Linked DNA regions of Cricetulus griseus. The protein of the gene in region 1 binds, or shares a complex with, the protein of each later gene. Links are inferred from orthologs where the notes say so. Each region holds a gene or a part of one and is shown on either strand. Other genes may lie near its edges.

Region 1 (10,191 bases):
ATGAATGCTAACCCCAAGTACATTGGTTTCCTCAACCTCCTTTCTGTTCTTGCTCCTGTATCTCTGCTGACCCACATGGGACCCACAGAATGCAAAGGCTCTTCTGAAAGCCACATGATTACTCTCCAAGTGTGAAGAGACTGAAAGCCAGGATACTTTGCACAGTCCAAGAGTTCTTTATAGCAATCCCTGACCTAGAACTGGCACATCCTCCTGATTGCTTCTTCTATAATGTTTTCCCCTGGCTTCTCCATGCATTTTAATCCTTTTCAATAAAATCACTTCTCTGGAAAGAACTAGGGCTTTTAAACCCAAGCTCTTCTGTGCTGAGGTCCCCAAGCAGTGACTTTTGAATGATATTTCTTATAGTCAATGATAGAAGTTAAGTGAGAAAGTCTGTCAGATGTAATTATGTGTCCCCATGTGGTTTAGTGATTTAAGACAAACAAATGAAAACTTAATAAGAATTATTCACACTCAAATGAAACATAACCACAGCTCTTAAATAAATTGTTCAATATCAGCCAAGAGTACTGGCCAACTCAGTCCAACAACTAACTAACTAACTTAGATAGATAGATAGATAAAATAAAAATAAATAAAGAAGCCCAACTGCTTTCCTCCTTAACTATGCTGAATAATATTATTGCTATAGTCTGGTACTGGGAGTGGCACCCTGAGTGTTCTATCACTGAACCCAAACCTAGAATAAGAATATTTTTGTTTCTTCTCCAAAACAAAACAAAAACAAAACACCTCACTATTAGTTTAGATCTGTCATACTGTTAGCTATTGCTGATTACTCTGGTCATAAAAGAAATTATTTTATTACTATTGGTAGATGGATCAACAATGCCAGGAACCTAAGTTCATTAGTCTTGGAGATTACTCAGCACTGCTTTCTGCTTTATTCTTACAGGGTTCCTAAGTCTTTCTCCATGAGCTCCCTCAATATTATTTCCTCAGTTCATTCAGGCCCTTCAAAGGTGAAGGGAGAGACTATGCTTTGTTTAACTTTAAGAGTAGGATTTAAGAAGACATCTCTCCCAAGATTTAAGTCAGTATGATGTGATGGCCTCTGTATATTTTAGAAAGCTTAAATGTAAGTGGGCACAGAAATGTTTCCATAGCAGTTTACAGCTCTGTATGGGCTTTATGATTCAGTGGTTTTGTATTTCATATACTATTCAGAATGGTCACTTTCCAAATGGCACCAGTTTGCCCCCGTCGTTACAAGAACAGTGACTTTACATGTGCCTGTCATAAACAACATGATGCCTTGGAACCCAAAGTCCAACACAGTACAAATAAAAAGTTTTATTTCCTATTTGTAGATAGAATACAAACCAGGGCTTCACCAGGCATCACTCTCAGATATTCAGTGAAGAGTTGGCAGGCATACCCAGGGTTTTTCTATTTATTGTTTTATGACAAGCCATGGCACTGAGAATGGTTTTTGAAAACCACTCAGTTTATTTTCATCAACAAACATGGGATCATGTGACCACTGCACTGCACCAACGTGATAGTCAAACACCCCAAAGTCCATTCAGTTATCAAACTGCCTTCCAGCACAGTGTGGGCTTCAGAGATCCATAGGATTTCTTCAGCAAGGGAGGGGCTGTGGTTGAAGCAAACCAGTGGAAGAAAAGCAGGTGGTGGGGAGAATGGGTTCGAGGGTGGCGAAAAGGCATACCACTCCTAAGATTTCTCTAGGGTTCCTGTAGCCCACATCCCCTTGAGCCTAGCATACCCAGCCCATATTTTTGGAGGCAAGATGATGAAAAATATTGGTATCTTATCCCAAAGATATGATGTTAAAGTTGATAGGAGGAGAGCAGGAACACTTAATTTATCTGTTTTGAAAGGTGTGAGTGGCCCAAGGGGATAAGATATAGAAGGAGGAAGTGTAGCTGAGAAGGGGGAGTGGCTCCTGCTGGCCTGGAGGCAAAGGCTGAGAGGGCAGCAGCTGGTGGGTTCCTAACAGGCTATGGTTAAATTGAGCAGTGAGATAAACGTAAAGAATGGCCTCTTCAGTCTGATCATTTCCTTTAGCAAGGGTTCTGGGTAATTGGTCATCCACTACACTGAGCAGCCTCCCCCAGGCTTGGCCTAACTGATTCGATGACATCAGCTGCAAGCTGTGTGTATAATGAGACCTAAGCTGCTCTCCTCATGGCCTCAGCCACTTTCTCACATCCCCCACCATCTCGAGAGGCCACACTTCAGCAAAACTTTCCCTATCAATGCAAATCTTAGCTTTCACAGTCCTGGCCAAGAGATAACATAACACCCCTGAGATAGATGCTATCAAATGAATAATAGGACCATGCTGATAAAGAACAAATCTCACTTCAAATCACATTTTGGGTTTCTCTTCCATATTCTCTACTGAACTATTTCTTTCCATTGGTGCTTGGTTTGATTTCACCAGAAAAGGAGAAAACAGTGCCAAACAATTTGATTTTAGTTCTGTATAATCAGTGAATGGGTTGTTTATATTTGGCTGGGCCTCTTTTTCTTTTTCTAGACTCTAACTGGAGGCAATTTTGTCACTATCCAATCACTAATGATGTCTAGTTTGATGAACAAATATTGGGCTAGTGAAAAGCCCTCTGTTGAAAGTCCATAATTTCAAAGGGCATAGCAACAGTCTTTAATTCAATTAAACAAATAGTCTGAGTAACTATTATGGGCAAAGCACAAGCCTACTTACTTTAGGGAAAAATGACAACCCTTGGCCTCTGAATTGAGAAGTCTATAATCAAGCTTTTGTAGCCCCTTCCTTAAATAGCTTAATAGCTATTTGTTTCACAAAGGGCCTCCAATTATCTTATTTTTAACTCAAAGATTTAGAGCCAAAAAGTCAGTTGGGATGAGGTTTCCAAGTGATTTCTAGTGGTTTGGGCTCTGTGTCTTTCAGAACAATGATAGGACTACATTGGCTACCATTAAATAAATTTAAATTCTTGCCTATTAGGGTGGGCTGGCTTGCACTCTCTCTCTCCTCTCCAACTTAGCTTCTAAGTAGTACTAAATTGATAGGATTTCCAGCATGGATTTCAGGTGTGTGCTGGAGGTAAGACGATAAGAGCCCAGAGCCTGCAAAATGAATGGGTTTAGGTAAAACTGAACTGACTACTATGGGACTCCTTGCCTTTCAGCAACCCCCTCCCCAGAGCCTTGTTCTGAGATCCCAAACTCCAACCCTCTTTGCTGCACCTGCTCTTGGCAAGCTGTTGCAATTTGCCTTCAAGTCTTCATTCTCTTTAGTCATGTGGCTGCAGTCTTCCTTTACTTTCAACATGGGAATGAAGTAAGCTTATTTTCTGTAGTCAGATTAGCTGTGTACAGGTCTTCACTCATGTTTCACTTGCTATGGCTGCCTTTTGTGCTTAGTGGACAGACTGCACTGTACTATGTGTGGTCCTGGGAATAGCATGCCGAGAATGCTCCCAACTAGACGTCAGAAAGCTTACATCATAGCCTTCCGATGTCTATGTGCACATGCCTCTCCACTTCAGTTCCTTCTCCTTAAATGAAGATGGTAGTAAACAATAGCAGCCTTCAGATGGCCCCGTGGCTGGAATGTAAAGAATGTATAAAATACTTGGGAATTGCAGGATCTGGGCCCTTGTGTATCTGAAACTCAACTGTTCTTAGTGGCATGTGGCTCTTTCTCACAGCCATTAGATGACTATGCTCTAAGTCATTTAATTAAAGAGAAAGAGATCACCTGAGAGAGTCAACAAAATATGATTTTTTTTCTAAAATCCAAATGTGTATCAAGTTACATGAATCTACCTATTAGTTGCCTCGATGTCCTGGGCATGTTCACTAAGGTTCTCAAGAGCTGGATCCAGGTCTTCTGCATGGGATCTGCAGCTCTTACTGCCTACAGACATTCTGTAGACCACATCATCAAAGCCAGACCCTGTCTGTAAAAACTGAGGGACAGAGACTCGACCCAGTCATGCTCCCAGCTGACAGTGGAATGGGAAGCAGCATGTATTTTTTCATTTTAATGCAATTTGGTGTTGATTCTCAGCTTCATGTTGGAAGCTTTCTGCTTCCTACAAAACTGGACTCCACAATGATTTTCAACTATTATGAATTTTCTAAACAATGTCGCTTAAGGATCCTTTTGAGGCTTGGGCATGTATCTCAGCTCTAGCACAGGTGTACGTGCATGCTTGAGGCTTTGAGTTTAATCAATATTTAGCACAAACCCCCATAATAATAAAATAAAATAATAAAATATTCCATTGTAGTAGCTTAGGCAGCTTAGATCCTTAGAAAGTAGGATTCATGTATATAATAAAAGGATAGAGTCGCCAGTTTCCCAGGAATAAAGCTTGGTACTGTAAGAACACAGGTTTCATGATACCCTGGGTGGACTTCTGTGCCAACTTTCAACTTGGGAAGAATGACTCCGGAACCCTTGAAAGGTAAAAGTGGGATCCAACACCTTCTACACCTGCTCAGCCTCCTCCACGGCTGCTGAGACACTGTGTCCTCACCAGTTATTTTGACACTGAGCAAAGAGATGGGTCTGGAAAGAGGGTAGGGGCATGAGAGGGCTTCACATTCATTCATGAGCATCGTGATCACCTATGAGTTCGTGTGTTACTCTCAAAGTTTTTTTGTGTGTGTGTTTTTAAAACTACAGCTTGGAGGAGTTGCTCTTTTTTTCAGAACAATGTTTACTTATCCTATTTGAATACATTTCCTGTGTTTTGGACCCAGCCTGCCACAAGATTTTAACAGTTCACAGCTGAGCTATATTCTGCATACACATGCATTCTGAGGCAGATCATTTAGTCCAAGAAAGTACCCCTGGCTCCAGCCACCCCCATGAAGAGAGCAGAAGAGAACTAACTGATTTGTCTGTTGTCTTTCCTGTCAAGATCGCCCTCGCCTTGGCTTTGGTCAGCGGGAAGGACTTTATGTATGAGTCATACAAATGCTTCGCCAGGGCCCGGAGATCAGCAGACTCTGGGTTCAGCTGGTCGATATCACTGGAGATCTCCGCCAACAGCTTCTCCTTCTCGGCCTGTGGCATCCGCCCAAACCTGATGGCTACAGAGGAAGAGGAATGACAGGATGAATCATTGGATCATTACTATGGCTCTGCATTGTGCTCTCCCCAGCCTTGGTTCCCACAGTGTAGGAGCCCCTCCTCTCTCCACCCCGTGCTGGTTCTGCTTTCTATCCACCACTTTGCTCATGTTTTTATTTCACAACAGTAGCACAGAAAACTGAAAATTGAATTATTTACTTCTTCAATTTCAAAAGGCAACATATGATCCTGTTAGGAAATTGGAAGAATCTGTTTAGCAAATAGGAATACACATTCATTCAAACATGAAGTAATTGAGAGATAATTCCTATCCATCCTTTAAGAGCCAGGCTTTCAAGTACAGCTAATTATCTTTTCCCAGTACTCCATCCAATGATCCAAGTGTTCACACTGCACTTTAATTATGACTTTATTTGACTCTTGTCCCTCTGTACTACAATGTCCTGAAGCAGGGACACTGTCTTATTTATCTTGGTAACTTCTGCACTTCACAAAAGGTCAGGTAGGAGGATCTACATGTTTCATGAATTAAGTAAGGAGCTACGAAGTCCCAGTTGTACAAGCACAGGCTCTGTTCTCAGGCAGTTTGTGTGATCTGCTTGTCCCTGATGTGAAGAAAGGATGGTGCTTTATTCCATCTAGTAGATCAGAGAACTTGGACATTGAATGGATGGAGTTGGACTTATCGCTAACTCTGTAGAATTACCCCTTATTGAGGTTCATCAGAAAGACACCTTTATCCTGGGCTTCTCAAGGGGTGAGGAAGTGTGAATGCAAAAGAAAGATTAAAGAGAGACCACAGAGCCTAAGGTGGGAATTAATCTTTGTGAATTGTTGTCTGGGGACAGAACTTGCCTGGCATGTGTTAGACCTACATCTCATTCTCAGAAAATAAAATTAATAATAATCTGTTTATAGGTTTTCAACTTGAATAAATTTTCCTGCCTTCCTTCTGATATCATTTGTAAAAATGTCACTTTGAATAATGCTTTTCTTTGTGGTCATTCTTCATTGTTGTTTTAAAAATATTTTTAAAAAATAAATTTAAAATGGGGGTGCTAGAGAGTTGGCTTAGTGGTGAAGAGCATGTGTTACTCTTGTAGAGGCCCTGGTTTGATTCTCAGCATGCATTTGGTGGCTCACAACCATTTATAACTCAAATTCTAGGGGATCTGACATTCTTTTCAGACCTTCTTGGGCCTTGTGCATGGTGAACACATGTTCTACTACTGAGCTACAGCTCAACTCTTGTTATTTTTATATTATATTCTTGAGACTAGGTCTTGCTGCATAGCACAGTGTGGCCCAGAACTTGAAAATCCTTGAACTAGCATCCTTGGTTACTACCATATCCAGCTCAATTTTGTTTTAGATAAAAGATTGATTTGTATCTCTGAGTCTCATATGTGTAAACTCATCTCAGTTGGCCCTATACTTTATCACTAATAAAACAATTATACTCAATAGAGATGCTTGCCTCTAGTTTACATTAAATCAGAATATGTTTAGATACTTTTGATAAATATAACCTTTGTACATGACCCCTTCAAAAAGAAATCTTTAAACAATTGCCCCCCCTTTTTTTTCAGTCAAAATTGCAGCCTCCCATTATTCTCTTCCATTTTAGCTGCACTGGGATAAGAAATGTCAGCTTACTGAGGGGCCTTCCCACCTGGTCCCCAGATCCACTGGGCTCCCTCTGTCTATGACCTTGACACTACTCTCCTCTTTTTCATAACTCTGGCCATAGTAGTTAATAATAATGTTTTCTCTTTTCCTCCAGTCTGTAGTCTTCATGAAGACAGGAGTCTTGTTCATTAAACTCTTGTTTATTATACTCAGCACTTAGCACTTATAGAGCATTTTGAACTAAAATGAATAAAACACATGTTCATGAAGCCCAACAAGGCCCCACCCCTCTCTGAGGATTGGTAGCTATGGTTGCTTGTAGAGGCAGAGGCATTTTCTTCAGTAGTGTTGCCACTGGTAAGTTGCCCAAGGTCCTGTAAGTAACCCTCACACATGCTTCTGTAAGTGATCCTAAGTAAACTCACTAGGTCACAAAATAAAAGGAGGAGGTAGAGGGAGAGGGGGAGAGAGAGGGAGAAGAGGAAGAAAAGAAAGAAGAAGGACAATGATGACAATAACATGGAAGTAGAAGGGGACTAGCTAGTTTGGAAGAGGAAAGGGACAAGAAAAGGTAATGGAGGTGAATATGATATACATATATGCAAATACCACAATTAGACCCATTAATATATGCAAAACAACAATTTAACAACGTGTAGAAGATCCTTTCATAGTCTCCTGCAAAGCCATTCTTAACCACCACCTCTCTCACACAGAACTAATCATTTGTTTTGTTGTCTTTTTGAGAAATGTGGAAGAAAAGGGGCAGAGTGTATGAGAACTACTTGGGAACATTCTAAAACTACATGTCTCCCGAGGAACATTCTAATAAGCCACCCCAATACCCAAAGAGGGTATATATATATTATATATTATATATTATATATTATATATTATATTATATACTATATATTACATTATGTGGGGTTTGAAAAAGCTTTCTAAATGGTAGGCTTGCTTGTATGCATATATTAATGTGAAGCTTTTACAACATTTCTAAGGGGTTTACATTAGTTATTCTTCTAGAACAGAAGCTATATGAATACCAAGTTTTATTTTTGCTCCTGGGTGTAACAAATTACATATAGTATACAATAAATGTGTGAAGAATTAAACTTCAAAACACCAAGTTTAAAAATAGAATATGAGTCAATATGTACATGAAAGAAAGTAACAATTATGACATTAAAAGATGAAGAAATTGTGGGCTGAGTATATGGGTCACAGTGGTAGAGTATGTTCTTAACATACATGGTAAGCCTTGGGTTTGGTCCCCAGCATAGCAAATAATAAAACAAAATAAAAATAAAAACAAAACACCACAGAAATTGTGAAATAAAATTTGGAAAAAACAATCAGAGCTATTATATAGTGAGATAGAAGTTGCTAGAATCATTTACTGTTTCACAGACTACCCCACACTGTCTTTTTACTTGATAAAAATTATTAAGTGGGGGGCTGGAGAGATGGCTCAGAGGTTAAGAGCACTAACTGTTCTTCCAGAGGACCCGGGTTCAATCCCCAGCAACCACATGGTGGCTCACAACCATCTGTAATGAGATCTGGTGCCCTTTTCTGGTGTGAGGCATACATGGAGGCAGAATGCTGTATACATAATTAGTAAATAAATTTAAAAAATTATTAAGTGACTCTCATATATTACACTGTCCTAAGTTCTGGTTAATTAAAAAACATTTATTTAGTGTGTATGTATGTATGCATGTTGCATGTATAGAAGGCCAGAAGACAATTTGTGGGAGTTGGCTCCCTTCTTCACTATGTGAGTCCTGGGGATGGAGCTCAGGTTAGTGTGGCTAGCTCCTTTATCTGCTGAGCTATCTCACTTGCTCTCTGGTTAAATTTTTAAAAAAGATTTATTTTTTAATGTGTATAAGTATTTTGCTCACACATATTTCTTTGTACCATGTGTGTGAAATGTCTCTGAGGCCAGAGGAAAGCATAGAATTCCTTGGAACTAAAGTTACTGACTCTTGTGAGCCACCATGTGGGTGCTGGGAGTCAAACCTGGGTCCTCTGCAAGAGTAGCAAGTGTTCTTAACCACTGAGATATTTCTTCTCCAGCCCCTCCTATGATTACAATTTTATAGACAAGGAACTATAAACATTCCTGGACATTAACATGCCTAAAGATGCATTTTATCTTTCCTAGTGGGCAACACAACAGCTAATTTAAATAGTTAAAGAAAATAACTTATTACATTGACAGTTCTGCTTTCCTTCACCTAACAAAAATAGCCAAAACCTTACAAAATCACTTTAATTAGGATACATTAAGATAGTGCCCTGCTAGAATCTGAAAAAATGCATATTTTCATAAGTTGAAGTTCTCAAAAAAGGCTAAATCTCATGAATAAATTGTCTGTATTGCTAATTAACACTGTTACAAGTTAGACATAATTTGATCCACAGGCAGATTTAGCATTTTTACACACCAGGGGCTTGGAAAAGGAAGAGACTAGGTCCTGTTTGGTGGTACTAAATCTGAATGTGACAGATCTGAAGTAGAGAAACGTTTTGTTTCTTTGAACAAAACAGAGCTTCATATAGCTCAGGCTAGCCTTGAACTTGCTATGTAGCTGAGGATGAACTTGAACTCCTGATCCTCCCGCTTCTACCTCCCAGGTGCTGAGATTATAGGTTGCGTTCCCATTCCTGGAATTTTTTTTTTTCTTTTAAAGGGGAGAATGCTGGTTGCATTCATTTATTTAGAGTCCAGGTGATTTCAGCTACACCCACATCAGGTGAGTATTGAGCAAAGATACAAACAGGGTTAAGCAAGACACCTGTGCAAGCTCATACTTCCTGTCATGGCTTTTATGTTGGGGATGAAGTGGTGTGGGACTGTGCTTTTTGTGGGTTACAGGTCAGATTGGCAGCCACTGCTCCCCCAGCAGATAAAGATAAAGAGAAAGTAGCAAACCCCAACACTTAGTTAATCTCTTGGTCTCGATTTTTTTTTAGAAGTTGTTAGGTATTAGTGTTTTTAACTCGGTAATTTTTTTAAAATTTATTTTTAAGATGTGATAAGGGTGGAACCCAGGGCCTGGTACATGCGGTAGAACAAGTGTTCTACCAGGGAACTAAATTATCAGCCCAGTTCCCACCCTGTGAATGAAGAATCAAAGGAAGACATGGAAGTTGGGCAGCTGTTTCCTAGAAGATTGAAGTTAAAGCTCAGAAATAAAGATGGTCACTATGCATTGGGGACCAGATATATCTATATATCTATATATTCTTCTATCAGTGATGGTTAATTTCCAAAGACAAAAGGAAAATGTTCTCTGTGTTACTGTGAGTCACTGAGAGATGAGAGAGGTCTGGCCTCTTGGAAGACAGTAGAACTAACACTACCATCAATGCTGCCAGGAAGTCAACTTTCTGATTTCTTCTCTGTGATAAAGCAGCTATATGGTTTACAGAAAATTATGTAATACCTATGGTCCCTAATTGCTTTATCTGCA
Region 2 (10,977 bases), on another chromosome or scaffold:
CTACCATTGCCAAGTAAGTTGGCTCCCACTGAAGCCAGCAGCTACTGGCACGGTTCACTAGGCTAGTGACAGATACCATTGGCCAAGTCATGCAGAATTGAATATGTTGTCCCGCATACCATTGGCCAAGTCATGCAGAGTTGAATATGTCCTGCAGGCTGGCAAGAGGCCTGGCGACCTGGGTTCAATCCCTAGACCCCATGTAGCAGATGGAGAGGACTGACTCCCACAGGTTGTCCACTGACCTCTCCACATATGCTACGGTACATATGTGTACATACATACCCACAATAAACAAGTATAAACTTTTTTTTAAAAAAAATTATGGACTGCAGAGATAGTTTAATAGTTCAAAGCATTGGCTGCCCCTCCAGAAGACCCAGAAGATTAAGGGATCCTATGCCCTCTCCTGGCCTCCAGGGGCACCAGGCAGACAGATATGTGATATACAGACACATATGCAGGCAAACACTCATACACAAAATTTTCTTTTAAATTCAATATAACCTCAGTTGGGAGCAGCAATGAAAATGGCCATCACATCACAGATGGGTCACTCAGGGCCGGGATGTAGGTCCATGGTCGAATGTATGCCTGGCATGCACAGGCCCCGGTTCAATTCCAAGCACTCCATAAACCAGCTGAATGGCACACATCTGTAATCCCAGCACGCAGAACAATGGAGGCAGAGGATCAAGAGACCGATGTGGCAGCAAATGTGGACGGACCTCCACGCTGGTTAGGCGGGCAAACGGAACTTTTAGGTTTGTGGAAAGAAAGACAGTAGCCATCACTGACCATGACGGACAGCTAGGAAGGGACTTCAAGCCACCAGTGTATGAAGCAGCAGGTTGGAGTCACAGTGGCCACCAAGGTGGTAACCATGTTTCTGATCTCCCCCAGGAAGACGGTGTGGACCGGCTAGAGCACATGGAGGAGCAGCTAAAGAAGGCCACCGCCATGCTGGGGGAGGCACTTGCGAGGGAAGGCTGACCCCACTCCACTCTTCTCCTTTCCTATACTCCCTAAGGCCCAGGGCTGTTGACCTCAGAGCCCCCATTCCATCTGGCAGGGACTGGGAAGCAAGAGTGCACCTGGGAACCAAGGCCGAGAGAAGTCTGAATGGGGCAGGGGTGGAGTTCAGACGACTCAGGACCCCACCCCACCCCACCCTACCCCACCCCACCCCTCCATCCCTCTGAGTGAATAAAGCACAAAGCAAACCCCACGGCTCACACAGCTTTGGAGGAATGGGACCTGAAATAAGCAGGAAGGCACTATCAGTCTGGGCTCTGGCTTCAGGTCTGAAGCTTTATTAAATGGAAATTATATTAATATTAGAAATTAAGTCAGGCGGGGTTGGAGTCATCAGGAAGAGGTTTGGGTGCCGGGGAGGGAGGTAGCCAGTTTTGGCTCCTGCCACTGTGGACCACAATGTCGTCATATTCATCCTGGGGACAGAGAGGGATAACACAGGGGTCAGGTAGCTGCCACCTTGCCCACTGCCCAGGGCACGGCACTTAATGGGGTCTCCCTCTGACGCCTGTGTCCCCTTGCCCCTCCGATATGGTTCCCACTCAGTGCACCTCCTCTCACGCTGGAGGTCCTGGTTCTCAAGACCACCTTCCCCCATTACCCCTGTGGTCCAGCCTTACAGTGGCTCTCTCCCGTCTCCCCTCTGCCTTCACCCACCCTCAACCCTCTTCATGCTATACCAACCCCTACACAGGGGTGTGCCGTTGTCTGGGTTCTTCAGTAATGCTCCCTGCACCGCTGCCTGAGGTCTTTCTCTACCATCAGTGTTCTGGCCACTCTGACCAAGGTCACCTACCTACAGCCTAAGTTCGGCAATCCTGCTCCCAAAGTCACCTCCGATGCTCAGACCCTCCCTACCTGTGTTCGTGACCACCTCTGGAGGAAGTCTAACTTGGCTCGTCTTTGTTCTTTGGCCTTAAACTCACAGACATCCACCTGCCTCTGCCTCCTGAATACTGAGATTCAAGACTAATGGTGTGTGCCACCAGGACAGATTGCCTTAGCTCTTCAGCCACCACCGCCACCCTTGCCCAAGTCTATAAGTTTCTCCTCATCTCACGTGTCCCTTGTCTAAGTCCCTGGGAGCATCCGCCACGGTTTGCCCTGACCCCTCCCGTGGGGACGCCCACTCCTCACTCACGCCCTCATCTCTGCCGTCACTGTCACTATCGCTGCTGCTGCTGCTGCAAGGGCCGAGCTTATCATCCTCATCCTCAGGTTCAGGGGCTCCATGTGCACGGAGGAGGCGGGCAAGGATGGGATTGGGCCGGAGCAGAGCACTGCCAAGTGGGGTGCGGCCCCCATACATGCGGGCGGTAGGGTCAGCACCAGCCTTCAGAAGAAGCTCCAGTACGTTGGCTGCCTGGGCTTCTACCGCCAGGTGCAGAGGGGTCCGGCCACACGTGGGCTCCTGTGGGATATGCCAGATCAGTCAGGGAGACCAACCAAAGACGGGAGGGTGCCTTCACACACTGGCCCACCACAGTGGCTCACCGGTTTATTGAGGTCAGCTCCAGCATCCCTGAGCAGCCGGACCATCTCTGCATCTTTGTGGATGACAGCTACATGGAGTGGGGTGTGGCCTGGGGACAGAGCAACCAGTGTCAGATAAACTAAGGCGCCTCAGCTCTGTCACAACCCTAGGGAAAGGCCACGTGAGCTAAAGATACCAGGTTTGGGGGCTGGCTCCCGAATTCCAGATGCCTAAGTCTTGGGTGTCAGCATGCTGGTGGGTGTAAGCCTGAGTGGTACAGTATCTGGGATCTACAAGGGATGAGTCTGGGCACATAGTCTGTGGACCAACAGGATCAAGTCTTTGGTCTTCCTTCACAAAGAACAGGGGCTTGACGAGCATGAACAGCTCTTAAATTCCATCCCCAGCATCATAAATAAAACAAAACAAAACAAAGCACAATAACAAAAGGAGTTGCACAAAAGACCTGGGACACTGGCTACCAGATGACCTTAGTTCTTTTCCCAGGAGGCCTGACTGAGGAGGGTAAGCTCTGCACCATCTGCCCATGGCTCGGAGCATGAGATGGGTCCTCCCATCCTGGACAGGCTGGGCTAGTGGCTTATACTTGGGAACAGTTCTGGAACAAAGGCACCTTGCAGATGGGTAGCCTAGGCTCAACCACTGTATCCTGGCATTTCTGGCTCTGTGGGTGGCAGGTCTGGGCTGCAAGTAGTTTGATGACCAGATCTGGGAAAGAGAAGCCCTGTCTGTCCAATTCTTCACACTCCCAGGCTGAGTGGAGGTCCTTAGTCCCAGTGCTGGGATTCCTGGAGCCTAGGGATGATTTTGCTTTGGGGTTCTTTTTGAAACAGGGGCTCACTATGCATCTAACATGATCTCATGATGTTTCTGCTCCTGGCTTTTGTCACCCAAGTGCTGGGATCACAGCTGCACACGGCCATACCCTGAGATGGGACAGGGTCTCCTGAACCTAGATTGGCTTCAAACTACAAAGCACCAAAGACAACCTTGAACTCCTGATCCTCTTGCTTTCACTTCCCAAGGGCACCACCATGCTAGGTTATGCTGGGAATCAAACCCAGGGCTCTATGCCAGCGGCTGTGTTTCAAGTTGGGTAAGAAGAGCAGGTGGTTTGTTTCCCTGACTCTGGCCAGGGGCTCTCGTCCTTCCCAGGGCCCAGGGCCCTCACCCTCATAGTTTTCAGCTTCTAGCTGCAGCTTCCAGTCTTCATCACTCGGATCCTCTTCGATCTCTGGGTTGGGTTGAGGGTTCACAGCAACAGGGGTGGGGCCGGTGTCTGTGGTATTGTCCTGGCTCTGAGTGAGGTAGGTATCTGAGACATCCCTTGGGCGTCTGGGGCGGGGCTGGAGCAGCGCGCATGCGCACGTGTGTGCCCTCACCCGGCAGGCCAAGTGCAGAGCGGTGTGGCCCCCTCGCTCAGCCACCAACACTCCGGCGCCAGCTGCATACAACTTCTCTACCGTGGATGCCTCCCCCAGGATGGCTGCTAGGTGCAAGGCTGTCTATAGGGATAGAGGGGAGGGGTTAGGGCAGCACTGACAATCCTGGACCCGGCTCCCTAGGGGGCCCATCCCCAGTGGCTCACTTGGCCTAGGTCATTCTGCAGGTCCAGGTACTCAGTGCCGGCGGAGAAGCCCAAGAGGAAATCCAGGAAGGGCTCATGCTGATGTATCACGGCCAAGTGCAGGGCCCTGGGGACAGAGGCAGAGGTCAGTAAACACGAGTGTCTACTGTATGCTGCAAACTGTAGCCATAACTGGAAACACTTCAGTGTCCCGGAGAGCCAGGGACAGGAGCGAATCCAGCAACTTCCTTTGTCTGCCTGATTGGTGTTCTGAGATAAGACAAGGGTCTTCATAAACTACCCAGGCTGATCGGGAGTTCAAGTTCTTCCTGCTTCGGCCTCCCGAGTAGCTGGGCTGACAAGCCTGTGACAGCAGGTCCAGCTACCAACTTTGTCTTACCAGTGTTTATTTTAAAGAATTTAGCTACCTGTAGTAGCTCAAATTCCAGCACCTGGGGAAGGTGAGGCAGAAGGATTGTTACTTCAAGGCCAGACTGGGCTACATGGTAAGTTCTAGACTAGCAGGGCCAAATACTAAATAGTGCAATTCTGTCACAAAAAAAACAAAGCCGGGTGTTGGTGGCACACGCCTTTAATCCCAGCACTCGGGAGGCAGAGGCAGGCGGATCTCTCTGAGTTCGAGGCCAGCCTGGTCTCCAGAGCGAGTGCCAGGATAGGCTCCAACGCTACACAGAGAAACCCTGTCTCGAAAAAACAAAACAAACAAACAAACAAACAAAAAAACCAAAAAACAAAACAAAAGCAAAAACAAAACCAAAAATGGTGGCTTGTGTGAAAGAGGCAGAAGCTGGTGGATCCCTGTGAATTCCAGGCTAGTCTAGTCTGCATGGTAAATTCTAGGTCAGCCAGGACTACATTGTGAAACCTTGTTTCAAATAATAACAACAACGTGTAGAACAATTGAGGTAGACAGTGAACACCAATCACTGGCCTCCAAACACAAGCATACTTACATACACAAAGACAAACAAACTGGGTATGAGAGCCCTAGCCCCAGCTTCTAATTTTAGTACTTCCCAAGCTAAGGCAGGAGGATCACAAGTGTAAGGCTACACAGTGAAGGCCTGACTCAAAAAACAAAATACAAAAAAAGTGGAAAACTAGGGCAGGGGCTGGGATGTGGGTTGGGGGTGCACCTGCCTAACATGTGCAAGACCTCAGGCTTAACTGGCAGCAACACACACACACACACACTATGGCTCCAATAACAAACCTTCAAATTACATAAAGCAGCCAGGTGTTGGTGGTACATGCCTTTAATCCAACACCGGGGAGGAGAGTTCCAGGCCAGCCTGGTCTACAGAGAGAGGCTCCAGGACAGGCTCCAAAGCAATACAGAGAAAATCTGTCTCGAAAAAAGCTAAGGTTCTCCGGCCAGCTAACCTAGCCGATGTGTTGAGTACTGGACCAGTGAAAGACTGTCTCAAAACAAAACAACCCAAGGTTATCCTCTAGTCTACACACACACCCTGGCTGAGTATAATGATGCATACTTTAGAGGAGGATGAAAAATTGAAGGCTATCCTCAGCTAAACAGCAAGCTCAAGGCCATCATGGGCTACATGAGACTGCCCGACCCCCCCAAAAAAGGAAGGAGGAGAAAGAAAATTACAAAATTCAAATCTAAAAGTAATCAGAATAAAATAATAAAGGAACAAGGACCAATAACATAGAAAGTGAAAAATAAGAAAATTAAGGAAATTACACCTGGTTCTTTAAGAGTGCTTATTATGTTCCCTTCATGGGTCAGGCACTGAGTCATTGGGCACACGCAAAAAGCACAAAGGACAAAAAATCCCGGGTACAATCCCTTGCATAGCCCTTCACCACAGCTGCCCTTCTCCCCAGTCAAATTTTACAATTATTTTTCAATCTCCCTCTCCTTTTTCCCCTCTTTTTCTTTTCTTTTCTTTCCTCTCTCTCTCTCTCTCTCTCTCTCTCTCTCTCTCTCTCTCTCTCTCTCTCTCTCTCTCTCTCTCTCTCTCTTGTTGCTGTTGTCGTCTTGTTTTTTGAGACAAGGTTTCCCTGTGTAACTAACTACCTTGGCTGTCCTGGGACTCACTCTGTAGACCACGCTGGTCTTGCACTCACAGAGATCCGCCTGCCTCTGCCTCTGCAGTGCTGGGATTAAGGGCGTGCGCCACCACGGCCGGGCATCACTTCAATTTCTTAATTGCAAATCAATGCTGGAAGTGTCAAGAGTCGTAGACTCAGGGCCAAGGACTAATTTTGGGAATCAAAATCTGGCTTATACAAGAGTAGCTACGGATCAAAAGCCACATTTGGAAGCAAGAGGTCAGAATTCGTGGGAAAGGTCTGGGGGGACCGGGTTGGAAAGGTTCAGATGCGGTATGGGGACCCATGGTAAGGATGCGGATTCCAGGAGCACAAATTTACAGTTCCAAGAAAGGCGAGACGCTTGACCGTGGGTGAAACCAGACTCACAACTTAGGATTGGGGGTGGGGGGAGTTATGTATGGGTCAGGAAGGCTCGTATCGGAAGTCAGGGGTAGGAACCAGAAGGTAGTAAGTAAGTCACAGAATCACAAGCCGATGGAGGCTCAGGTAGGATCCCGGGGCTCCGTTTGGTAGGTAATTTAAGGTTTACTCACGTGTCCCCATCCTCAGTGACGTAGCCAAAGACCAGGGGCGCCCACGACAACTCCGGGCCCAGCTCTGCGCCCAGCCCTGGTCCTCCGGGAGCCGCCGCGTCGGGACCCAGGGAGCCTAGGCCGCTGTCGCACCATTCGTCGACGTCCGCGCTTTTCCCCAAGCACGCGACCCCGGCCATGGCCCAGCCACCTCGGTGGCCCCCTGTGGTCGCCCGCCCGACGCTGGGCTCTGCGGTGAGCTCCAGCGCTTCCGCCCTGCCGGGAATTCCCCAACACGCCCCCTCATCTACCCAATAAAAACAAGCTAAATGGCTACGCTCCGCCCCCGTGCGTCGCCAGAACCAATCAGGATAATGAGATGCACGCCGGCTCTCTGAGTTTCCCCACTTTTTCCAGACGCCCTTTATCAATATGGCTTCAGGCACCAGGCCTTTTGGGATTTGTAGTTCTATGCCACGAGCGGCTCGTCGCGCGAAAGGGTTTGCTGAGGACGGCGTGGGCTGCCGGGAGTTGTAGTCCTCTGGCCTATCTCGGTCCCCTCTTGCTTCCGGTGCCGTCACGGGACAGAGCAGTCGGTGACAGCTCCGAGGGCCCCCACCCCGCTCCCATGGCCGAGCCGGATCGTGAGTCGGGGGCCCAGGTGGGAGGGTCGGGCCGCGCCGGGGCCTGGCTTTGGGCTGCAGGCCCCGGGGCCCGAGGACAGGCTCGGTGGGGTGGGAGGAAGGGGCTGCACGAAGGGAGTGGGATTTGGAGGGCCGTTGCTAAGTGGTCGGTGTTGCTAGGTTGGTGGGATTCTGGGTTGTGAGATTTCTTGAAGGGTCCGTTTGCCAAGTTCTTAATGATCGCGTTTCTCGCACCTTGGTTGCTGAGAACCCTCGTTGCTAAGGACCAAAGTTGCTACGATCCCGGTTGCTAAGGTTATCTGGTGTTAGGGGCAACTGTAGGATGTTCGGGAACCCCTGCTGCCCCTTTCCATCTCATTCCTTCAGTTCCTGTGTCTCTCCTAAACCTCCTGCCTCCACTCCATCTCCTCTCCCACACTCAACTCCAGCCGAGGTATCCCCATTTCCATCTCTTGAAAAACTTCGCCCTCCCTCTCTCTCCTGGCTGGCACTCACACTACCGCGTCCTGCCTGACTCTGAAGTCTTCCTTCAGTCCTGTCGCACCTGCTTTCTCCTCCTAAACCTCCCCCTCAGCCTTTCCACCTCACACATGTGTCTTCCACTCTAAAATATGCCTGTCCCCGTCTCCGACAGTTTTACTACCGTCCCTGACTCCAGGATAACTAGGTTAGTGGGTTCTCTCGTTGCCTCCACCACTGTGAATCCTTCATCCCTTTAACTGCCCCCCCCACTGTAACCACGTCTGCTCCCCCTCCTCCCCAGCCTCTGACCCTGTGGAGACCCAGGCAGGGAAGGTGCAGGAGGCTCAGGTGAGATGGGGAAACGGGTTGGAGGGAAGGAGAGAGATGGACTTGGTTCCACATTCCACACTGGGGGGAGGTGGCAAGGGGAGGCTTTTACCCAAGGGTCCTTGGCTTATGGGTTCTGGTCCCTAATTCCATCTGGGGATTAGTACAGCCTCCTGGGGAATGGTGGCTTCTGGGGACTGTCAAGGAAAAATGCCCAATATGGTTCCCCTTCCATATTGTCTTCTTACTGTTACCCACCCTTTCCTCAGCCCTTTCTGAACCTCATTTGTGCTGGGCCTGGAAGAGATGGTTTTCTAGTTTGATCCCCAAACTCACAAATTTCATGGGGTGGGGGAAATGACCTTATAGGGTTGCTTATAAAACTGGCACAGGTGGGTGTGGTGTCATGTAGCCATAATCCCAGGGGGCTCTCCAGGATCGCACAGCAAACTCTGTGGGTTGGAAAAGATTCTAGAAGGGTCTAGCCAAACTCTTCCTTTTAGGAACTCACAAGCTGATCTAGGAACAAGACCAAGATGTAGTCACAGTGTCATGAGTGAAATGGTTTAGAATTTTCTTAAATAAGATCAGATATGGTGTTCCATGCAGAGGGTGAGCCCCCCCCCCCGGAGGGGGGCAAGGAGGAGGAGTAAATGTTTTCAGTAGTTGTTGCCGGGATGGTGTACTTTAGGTGCATAACCTCCATCTGACCTCTCTGGCATCCCAGTGAGCGCCAGGCCTTTCATGGACACCTTACCGATGAGGAACTTGGCCCAGTGTCACTTGAGTAGAGGGAAGGGGAAGGGCTTGAAACCTGTAGGAAAATGGGCCCTAACGACTCTGTGAGTTCAGTGGGGAGGCAGATGAACCATCTCAAAGATGTTTGAAGACACTTGCCAACGCCTCCAGAGCCCCGAGAGGCCAGGCTGTCCTCGTGTACTAGAGCAGTGGGTCTCAGTCTTCCTAAGGCTGTGACCCTTTAATACAGTTCCTCGTGCTGTGGTGACTCCCCTCCCCAGCCATAAGATTATTTTTGTCGCTACTCATAACTGTCATTTTGCTGTTATGAATTGTAATGTAAATGTCTGATATGTAGGATGTCTGATCTTTGGCCCCTGTGAAAGGGTCGCTCAGACCCCAAGCGATCTCAGGCCCACATTGTACTAGACAGTGCCACAACCCCTGAATGCCAGCATGCCCATCGCTGGGAGACCGCTCTTCAAAAGGAGGCAGGTACAGAAGCTGTGGTCAGCAACACCCCATAAGTGCACAGCCCAGCTGGGACAGCCTGCTGTGGGTGTCTATATCTTACTTGTCTGGCTCCCAAAATAAGACTTAATGCCAGACCAAAGCGTCTCAAGGTCAGAAAGGATTCTCAGTGGCAAAGAAGATGTGGGGATGTCAATTGCAGCATTATACAGGCAGGGCAGCCTTAGAAATAGCCCCAGTGGCTGTCGGGAGAGGGAGTCAGTGAACTAAGGTTCACCACACAATGTGTTAGTCTGGAGTCACAATAAAGAATGGGGTGGGGGGCGGGACACTGGAAAGATGGCTCCGTGGCGAAGAATGTACACTGCTATTCCAGAGGACCCGAGTTCCATTCCAAGAACCCGTATCAGGCAGCTCACAAGGGACTGTAACCCCAGTGCCAGGGGATCTGACCCCATGAGCACTTGCACGCACATGCACATAGCACATGATAAAAATAAATCTAAAGAAAAGAATGAGGTGGGTCTGAGAAACACTGTGAGGTACCTTACTCTGGCAAGACCCACATCTGTAATGAGTAAAAACTCCTACAGAGAAAACAGCTGGAGTTCTTCCTGTTTTAACAGCTGCTTGGCTTTGTGTTGGCATGTGTTTATTATGCCAAAGTTCAGGAGGCTGAAAAGGAGGATCATGGGCTAGAGGCCAGCTTGGGTGAAACAGTCAGACTCCCTCCTCAAAGAAAAAGAAAAGCTTGTATGATTTCTTTTTTAACGTCTAAACTTGGCTTCTTTGTTTGTTTTGTGGGTAGGATGCACACACCACAGTGCATGTGTGGTGATCTGAGGACATCTGTTCTCTCCTTCCACCACGAGGAACCCGGGTTCAAACTCAGATTGTCAGGCTTAGTGGCAAGCACCTTCCCCTGGTGAGCCCTCTTGCCAGCTTGTGTGATTTTTTTTTTTTTTTTGAGACATGGTTTCTCTGTATTGCTTTGGAACCTGTCCTGGCACTCACTCCGTAGACCAGGCTGGCCTCAAACTCACAGAAATCCGCCTACCTCTGCCTCCCGAGTGCTTAGATTAAAGGCATAGCTTGTGTGATTTTAAAAGTCGGGAAAGAATCACTTTTTCGAGTCAGGCATGGTGCTGACACACCCCTGCAATTCCAACACCTCAGAAATAAAAGTAGGTGGGTCAGGAAGTGGGGGTCACCCTCAGATACATAGCAAGTTGGAGCCAACCTGGGCTACGTGGGACCTTGTCTCAAAAAGGCAATAATCACAAAAGAATCTTCTTAAAAAATAATTTGAAAAGGAGGTTTGGAAGCAGAGTAAGGAAGGGGTAGTCTGGGGACTTTTGAGCAGTTAGTTGATTGAGTTGGGCAGACTATTTCTGACATTACTGCAAGGCCAGCTCTGGCCTAGCACCCAACTACATACATTTAGTGGCAGATGGTTCTGGAAGTCCTGTTATCTAGGCTGGGCATTAAATGGTGAACATAGATAAAAAAAAAAAAAAGTCCTGTGCTGTGTGGCTGATGATATTATGGCACTTGGTAGATGTTTGTGATTCAGGGGGGTTTTAAAGAAGAGAGGGGTGGACTGCCCTAAACAGGCTACCATAATTG

Evidence for each region. Proteins that work in one complex are often made in the same cells at the same time.
Region 2: the proteins of Pparg (region 1) and Nfkbib are in contact, whole or in part, in a crystal structure (PDB 9CK0), measured with the Homo sapiens proteins. The link is inferred for Cricetulus griseus from reciprocal best matches to the Homo sapiens genes PPARG and NFKBIB. Residues at the interface, in NP_056953.2 of Homo sapiens: Gln322, Thr325, Lys329, Phe334, Leu339, Gln342, Val343, Leu346, Lys347, Leu496, Glu499, Ile500; in NP_002494.2 of Homo sapiens: Asn286, Pro287, Ile288, Leu289, Ala290, Leu292, Leu293, Arg294, Ala295.

Annotation. Positions count from the first base shown.
Region 1 is NC_048601.1:29,371,451-29,381,641, forward strand, and holds part of Pparg (peroxisome proliferator-activated receptor gamma), read right to left. Parts: intron 5,080-10,191; coding exon 4,880-5,079; intron 1-4,879. UniProt on the Homo sapiens protein: Nuclear receptor that binds peroxisome proliferators such as hypolipidemic drugs and fatty acids.
Region 2 is NC_048602.1:7,101,321-7,112,297, reverse strand, and holds Nfkbib (NF-kappa-B inhibitor beta), read right to left. Parts: upstream 6,989-10,977; 5' UTR 6,910-6,988; coding exon 6,731-6,909; intron 4,225-6,730; coding exon 4,119-4,224; intron 4,036-4,118; coding exon 3,702-4,035; intron 2,619-3,701; coding exon 2,530-2,618; intron 2,447-2,529; coding exon 2,177-2,446; intron 1,452-2,176; coding exon 1,350-1,451; 3' UTR 1,285-1,349; downstream 1-1,284. Other genes in the region: Ccer2 (coiled-coil domain-containing glutamate-rich protein 2), read left to right, coding at 904-993; Sirt2 (NAD-dependent protein deacetylase sirtuin-2), read left to right, coding at 7,338-7,353, 8,117-8,163. UniProt on the Homo sapiens protein: Inhibits NF-kappa-B by complexing with and trapping it in the cytoplasm.